Tribolium castaneum: one gene and its partner. The protein of the gene in region 2 purifies or fractionates together with the protein of the main gene of each other region. This does not show direct contact. Links are inferred from orthologs where the notes say so. Each region holds a gene or a part of one and is shown on either strand. Other genes may lie near its edges.

Region 1 (3,331 bases), on a different chromosome or scaffold from region 2:
GTAAGGGATTTGGACGAGTTTTGAGCGAGTGCTTGGTGTCCAAAGACCAGCACAACGCAACATCCACCGATTTGCTATAAACACGTCTTTGACGTACTCGTCTGACATCATTTTTACTATTTTTTGGCCCCCTTTTACGGCTTTTATATCAACGATGACCGGGGTGTGAATAATTGAGGCGTCGCGCCTTGTAATTTCACACTTTAATATTTCAAGCGAAATTATTGCTTCTGGAGTTCTTCAAGGACTAAGGTGGGGTTTTTTCTGGGTTTTTGACCAAAAAAATTCAAACTCAAGCCAAAATAATGTTATTCCAATATGATTTTGAGCTAAAAGTCCACGTTTTTCTTTAAAATCCTTGTTTTGTCAAGAAGTTATCAATTAGGGTTAAAGTTATTGCTTCTGGACGATGAGTTTCTCAAGCACGAAGCTGGTCTGCGTCTGGAGATCTTTTTTCTGGATTTGGTCGTTGTTTTTAGGTTTGAGAACTAAGACTGGATCATCCAGAACTTTGAAAGTTTGCCCAACATTACTTTTCTCAATACTGTCAGCGTTTACGAGCTTTGTGACGTGACTTGGGGACTCATCTATTGCATTTTTGATTGATTCGAGAGTCGAGCGACGCATTTGCTTTTGCTGGAATCACAAAATTGCGCAAAAACTCGCTGGTTAAAGGCACGTACAGGAATAGAAAAATCAAAATCTTTGACGGTTGAAGACCTGCGACGCTCTTTACTGACAACAGGAAGTTCCTGTAACAGTTTTTGAAAAAAATCAACACATTATAATGAGATAATTACAACGGTTTGGGCATTGCGAATTTTTTGCCTCATCCGTTCCATCCCCCGCTTTTCATTCTCGCTTGTATCGTTCGCCTCAGCCTCGGGGGTTTTACCAGCTGACGTAACAGAAGTGTTAGTTGAGGAGGGGATTTTTTGGGCGGGTAATTCAATTTTGCCGGGGTTTTCCAAACTGGATCGTATAGTAGAGTTGGGGATTGACGCGCCGGACAAAAACCGCGAGTTTCGGCGCTCGGTTATGGACCCACGGGGCGATTTTTGAGCCCCAGACTAAAAATTCCCAATTGAAATTTTCAAAAGTGTGGGCACCAAAATTACGTCTTTTTGCTTCGAGGCCATGACTCTGGTCGTAATGCCTTTATTGAGGGGCTCCTTACTGGTGGAATGAAGATGTGACATGACGAATTTTGAATTTTGACGTGACCCCTAACCCGGCCCTGTGCTACGCCACTGGTGAAATGGACTGTGTTTATCACGTTGTAATTTGTTTTATTATCATAAAAGGAGCATAAATTACAGACTGGCTCAGGTTTATTATTCATTTGCAAACGAATAATTTAATAAATAAGTCCAATAACCAACTGTTAATGGTGATTTTGCGTCGTACGGTTGGTACCAAACCGAAAATAGGGGTTAGGTTTAAGTCGTAATTTCAAAACTTGAAACAATTTTTAATGTAAAAAACACGTGCATAAGTTTCGGTTTAAATTTATTAAGAAAATTACAACATGTTTAGTGCGGTTAGACAGTCGGCGAAATTAGTGAGGTTAGGTAATTTCGTGCGTGTGCCCCCTTATCGGCCCCCCAGATCGTTTTTTTGTGCCGAGGCGGCTCAAGGTCCCAATATTGAGGCACTCACAAATGGGGACAAAGAACTGGAACATAAGTTGAAAGTTTTAATTCTGGAAGTTGATGTCATGAGACAGGAGGGTAAATTGGTTCCTGACGATGAGTTCCTCAAAGACAAGCATTGGAAAGAACTGCTCGAATTGCCGACTTATTCGGCCCGCAAGCGCTTGTTAGAATATCTATTTAAAATCTCAAAAAAGAAGGAAAACAGACTGGTAATAATTTTTTTCTAATCCCGGAAGTGCATTACGTTTTATTTAGATCAAAAAAGAAGAGAAAAAGCAGCAACGCGGGGACAAGCCCGAAAAGAAGGAAAACGAAACGCTTGAAGAGTTCGTCTCGACGTACGATTTGGCCCACAATAATATTTTTCTGCGGGTTTACGATAACACAATCAATCAGTTGTACAATAACCGGTTGGTTCAAGCGATGCAATTTGGGCAAAAACTGGTGGTGGATTGTGGCTATGACCAGGATATGACAGTCAGGGAAAATAAAAACTGTGCCAAACAACTGACTTTATTATTTGCCGAAAATCGGGCCCATGATGGTAGAAAAACTGCAAAAATCCGCCGAAAATTTTATTCAAAATTTCAGATCCCTTCGATTTGCATTATTGTAGCCTCGCCCCTGACACCATCCTCCACGAAACTCTTCAGAGTAATATTGCAACGTTGCACGAACCTTGGTTCCCCCTCAACGTGCACGAAACCAGTTATTTGGAAAAATTCCCGAGGGAACAGTTGGTTTATTTAACCCCTCATTGCCGGGAAGAACTGGTGAAGTATGACCATGACGCCATCTACATTATCGGCGCAATTGTCGACAAGGTCAACACTCAGCCCTTATCCCTGGCCAAGGCCAAGCGTGAGGGGCTGAGAATGGCCAAACTGCCCCTTGACCGCTACCTCCAATGGGGCTCCGGTTCGGGCAAAAGCCTCACTTTAAATCAATGTGTGGCAATTTTGTTGGACGTTAAGCACACCGGCGACTGGGAATACGCTCTGAGGCACGTCCCCAGACGGAAAATCATCCAAATGACCGACCAAAAAGAACAGAAATCCTTCAAAAGCAGGTTCTGGAAGCCAGGCAAGAAACTGGATTTATCCAGGAAGGATAGGAGAGTAGAAGTTAGGAGTATCATGTATGATGAAAATTAAACACAGTAGATTATTAATTTTTTATTTACACCTAACTATGCCTAATTACGCCGCCTCCTAACTCGCGATATTCGCCAAGCGTTCGGTTCCTCGTATTTGTTGTAAAGTGGCTCCAAACGTTGGTTTTTCTTAAATTTGCTCAGTTTTGTCGGATCTGAGAATTTGAAGAAAGCGGGGGCGAACTCCACGAGCCATTTTGGGTCGATTGTGGTCACTTCGCGCATGTATTCCTTCGTGGTCTGCACCAGTTCGTGGTAGATCACCCTTGAAAACGCACATAGACAAAAAATTATAAAAAATAAAACCACTCGGTTTTTCGCGAAACTAAGCCGAAAGTAATGTCCTTTTAGCCTCTTCAAAAGTTTTATTAGGTTTTTACAGCCCTAAACGCGAGCTTTTATCAAAAATAACTAAAATAATTTCAAAAAAGGTGTTATTTAATTGTTTCAGTAATGAAACTGTCAAAAATGAATTTCTTTTTGCTTTTTTCAAGCAGTTGCATACTTTTTTCAAGAAGAAACT
Region 2 (3,570 bases):
GCAATGGCAAAAGTGCAATCAAAAGGCCCAGCAAAGCTCCACCGCCCATTCCCGTCAAACCGAGCAGATTGGTTATCAGTACAAAGAACATTTCAAACGTAATCATGTCAACGGAGACAATAAAGTCGGGTACAACCAACATCCAGAAACTTTACATAGAGCAAAGCAAAACTAAAGCTGACTTAAGTCACGAGACGAGAAATGTGAACGTCAGTGAGAAGAGTTGGGTGAAGGCAATGGTTGGACGATTCGAATGACACAATTCATAATCAAACTTTCCCATGTGCTATATGTGGCTGTTCTAGTTTTATCCTTGTTCGTTTGAAGAGTGTTTATGATAGTTGATAAAATATTTATTTTTAAATACAAAGCAAAACAAAGGAAATTATTGTACAGTTTTAACGCTACGGTTAAAAATGTAAGCATTTTAAACTACGTATTTACCATAGTAAATTAAACGTGCCAAATGGGTCCTTATTTTCAGGACCTTTTAAATTATTTGTTAAAGGTAGCACTAATTTTGTAAAAGTATCAATAAATATTTTCAATCTTTATTCCTCGTTTCATTACAAAAGTTACGGCTGCATTCGCAGAGCACCGTCCAGTCTAATGGTCTCGCCATTTAACATGGGATTTTCGATGATACATTGCACCAAATGGGCAAATTCTGCTGGATCGCCCAATCGAGACGGAAAAGGTACAGACTTTTCCAGAAACTTTACAACCTTGTCAGGCAATGCCGAAAATAGGGGTGTCCTAAATAGGCCTGCAAGTGAATGTTAAAAAATAGTAAGAACGAAAATTAATTACCAGGGGCTATGGTCACGACTCTTATTGCCTGACTTGCCAAGTCCCGAGCTATGGGCAAAGTCATTCCCACGATGGCCCCCTTACTTGCCGAATAAGCCGCTTGTCCCATTTGTCCCTCATAGGCGGCCACACTTGCCGTGTTAATCACCACTCCACGTTCCCCCCTTTCATTTGGCTGATTTTCGCCAATCAGGCCCACAGCTAATCTAATTACGTTAAATGTGCCAATTGTGTTTATCTACAAATAAAAAAAAATGTTTCGGTACTTGGGAATATAATTTACGTGTTATTACATTTATAACTTTGGCAAAATCCTCCAAACTGTGTGCAGCTTTTTTGTTGAAATTGTACGTTTTGAAGGCAACGCCAATTCCGGCACAGTTCACGACATTGTCAAGCTTGCCGAACTTTTGCTTGGCTAAATCTAAGGCTGATTGGACGTCGCTTTCGGAAGTTACCTAAATGAATAATAAGTTTCAAGTATTGGGATGTGTGTTTAGTGTTTACGTTAACAGGAGCGAATAAAACTTTGTCTTCGCCAAGCGTTTTTGCAACTTCTTGGCCCTTTGAAGACTGCAAGTCGCAGAGAATGACACGACTTCCTTGTTGGACGAGTCTTTCGACTGTTGCTTTTCCCAGCCCGGAGGCGCCTCCAGTCACCAAAGTCACCGCGTTCTATAAAAAAAAACTTCTTTAATTCGCCATCTCTAGTAACTCAACAGAGATTACATCCAGACATTTTTTGTGCAGTAAAATGCCCGAACAATTTGAAGACTAGAAAAGTGATACTCGATTCTAAACCAGAGTTATTGTAAAAAAAGCCGGACACTACATAACAATTTTTATCCCTTTTCTTTTACCAATTACTTACTTGAAAATTAAGTTAAATGTAGCTAAACAGGACAAAATCAAACAGCTTTTGAAAGATTTGTGTCCACTTGCATACGTTCTTTACGAAAAATTTATTTTTATACCTCTGCTAAATCAAAAATTTTGATTTTTGAGTTTATTTTTGAAGAGTGCTGCAACACATTATACAGCACCGTGGTGCAAATTGCCTGCATACATACTTTTTATTCTGAAATTCAATTTAAATATGAACTATTAACAATTATCCTTGTACATAATTATTGCAATGATTCTCTAAGTTAATTACACACAGTTTTTAGTTTTTTTATTAAAGAAAAAGATTGTGATGAAACAACAAATTACACAACCTCAAAAGTCACGTCTAGACGTCGAAACCAGTTCATTAATTTGTCTTACTTTTAAGAATATCAATTCTTTTTACGCTATTTCTACTCTACAATTTAAACATTGGGGTAAGTAGAAAAAATATGTTACTGAGTTACACGTTTTTACATCACAGATATCAATCAATTATTGCAATTATTGAGATAAACTTACCTTCAACATGCTGCTCAGTTTCAAAATAACTCACTCGACAAATATTTTATGCTTTTGCCTTGTAATTGTTTGAAAAACGAGGAACAAAGGTCGGATTATTATTCAGCGTTGTCATAAAGCTAACCAAAAAACAGCCATGTTATTGCTGTAATTGCCTTATCAGTTTTGTAATTGTTTATTTCTTGTTATCACATCGATTTTTGCAGAAACCATGGCTTTGGTCTCGTATGACTATGAAAGTGGCAGTGAAGAAGAAGAACAAGAAGAACCCTCAACTTCTTCGGAAGTTATAATCAATAGCACAAAAGTTAATAACAGTGAAGCAAATGAAGACACAACGGAACTACCAGAAATATTGTCACACCTTCCTCAGACTAAAACCACAACACCCACAGTTAACGTGACGGAGGATAAACTGGAAGATTTTATCCCGAAATATGAACCCCCTCCCAAAGAAAATAAGAAAACTCAAAAAGTGAAAATAACCATTCCGAAACTATCAGAGTTCGAAGAGGAAGAAGAGGAGGAACCACAGCGCAAGAAAACGAAAACCGTTTCGAAAAGCAGTGGCTTGTTATCCATGCTGCCCCCAGTTAAAGGTTCCCCACTCTCAACTAAAAGTTTCGTACCAAATGTCCTAAAAAACAAACCTCCGGTCACCCAAAAATCGAAAGCCAACAGTTTAGTGCCACACGCAGTTAAGAAAAAGGCAGAAATGGCCAAAAAAGCCGCAATTAAGAAAATAACAAAAGGTTCAAGCAGTGATGCCGAAAGCGACGACGATATTGAAGTCCCTGAGACGTTCGACGACGAAATGTGGCAGAAGGTCTGTGGACGAAACACTAAACCCAAGCCGCCTCCAGTCGTTAACGTGGAGGAAGTTGCGCCTCCGGTGATAAACATCGCACCTGAGCCGGTGAAACCGTACGATGGTTTGGATAATGCGGCGTTTAAAGAGCTGGTAGGAAAGGCCAAACGGCCGGTTAATATCAAGCTTGTGGACATTAATGAGGAGGAGATTTTGCCCGACAAGGAAATCTGGATGACTAAGTCATTAACCGATCCAGATAGCGCCCCTAAACCGGTGGTTGAGGAACCGGTGGACCCCACAAGGAAGAAGAAACACCACATTACTTATCTGGCAGAACAGGCGAAATTGAACGAACAGGAGTTCCAAAGTCAATGGTCTGCTAGTAAATATGCGCGAAATCAAACACGGGCCAAATACGGTTTTTAAAAGTGTGTATAATATATTAATTAAAAAAATAACTGGTGGAGAACTTGTTATGCAACGTTTTGTCTGTTAACCACCACTCATCAGGCTAAAGAAAAAATTAAACATCGACATTTTAA

What was found. The genes of interacting proteins can lie anywhere in the genome.
Region 1: the proteins of scu (region 2) and rswl purify together in Homo sapiens (co-immunoprecipitation; 3 studies listed by BioGRID and IntAct, counting the BioPlex papers as one, with this or other methods). This does not show direct contact. The link is inferred for Tribolium castaneum from reciprocal best matches to the Homo sapiens genes HSD17B10 and TRMT10C.

Annotation. Positions count from the first base shown.
Region 1 is NC_087395.1:23,608,929-23,612,259, forward strand, and holds rswl (mitochondrial ribonuclease P protein 1 homolog), read left to right. Parts: upstream 1-1,364; 5' UTR 1,365-1,528; coding exon 1,529-1,864; intron 1,865-1,910; coding exon 1,911-2,199; intron 2,200-2,246; coding exon 2,247-2,809; 3' UTR 2,810-2,826; downstream 2,827-3,331. Other genes in the region: odorant receptor 94a, read right to left, coding at 1-111; pea (ATP-dependent RNA helicase DHX8), read right to left, coding at 2,851-3,073. UniProt on the Homo sapiens protein: Mitochondrial tRNA N(1)-methyltransferase involved in mitochondrial tRNA maturation. Component of mitochondrial ribonuclease P, a complex composed of TRMT10C/MRPP1, HSD17B10/MRPP2 and PRORP/MRPP3, which cleaves tRNA molecules in their 5'-ends.
Region 2 is NC_087394.1:34,712,658-34,716,227, forward strand, and holds scu (3-hydroxyacyl-CoA dehydrogenase type-2), read right to left. Parts: upstream 2,360-3,570; 5' UTR 2,227-2,359; coding exon 2,218-2,226; intron 2,133-2,217; coding exon of another isoform or gene 2,006-2,132; exon of another isoform or gene 1,945-2,005; intron 1,486-1,944; coding exon 1,318-1,485; intron 1,269-1,317; coding exon 1,104-1,268; intron 1,049-1,103; coding exon 811-1,048; intron 767-810; coding exon 576-766; 3' UTR 536-575; downstream 1-535. Other genes in the region: uncharacterized protein GEFmeso, read left to right, coding at 1-257; proline-rich protein PRCC, read left to right, coding at 2,006-2,132, 2,424-3,454. UniProt on the Homo sapiens protein: Mitochondrial dehydrogenase involved in pathways of fatty acid, branched-chain amino acid and steroid metabolism. Acts as (S)-3-hydroxyacyl-CoA dehydrogenase in mitochondrial fatty acid beta-oxidation, a major degradation pathway of fatty acids.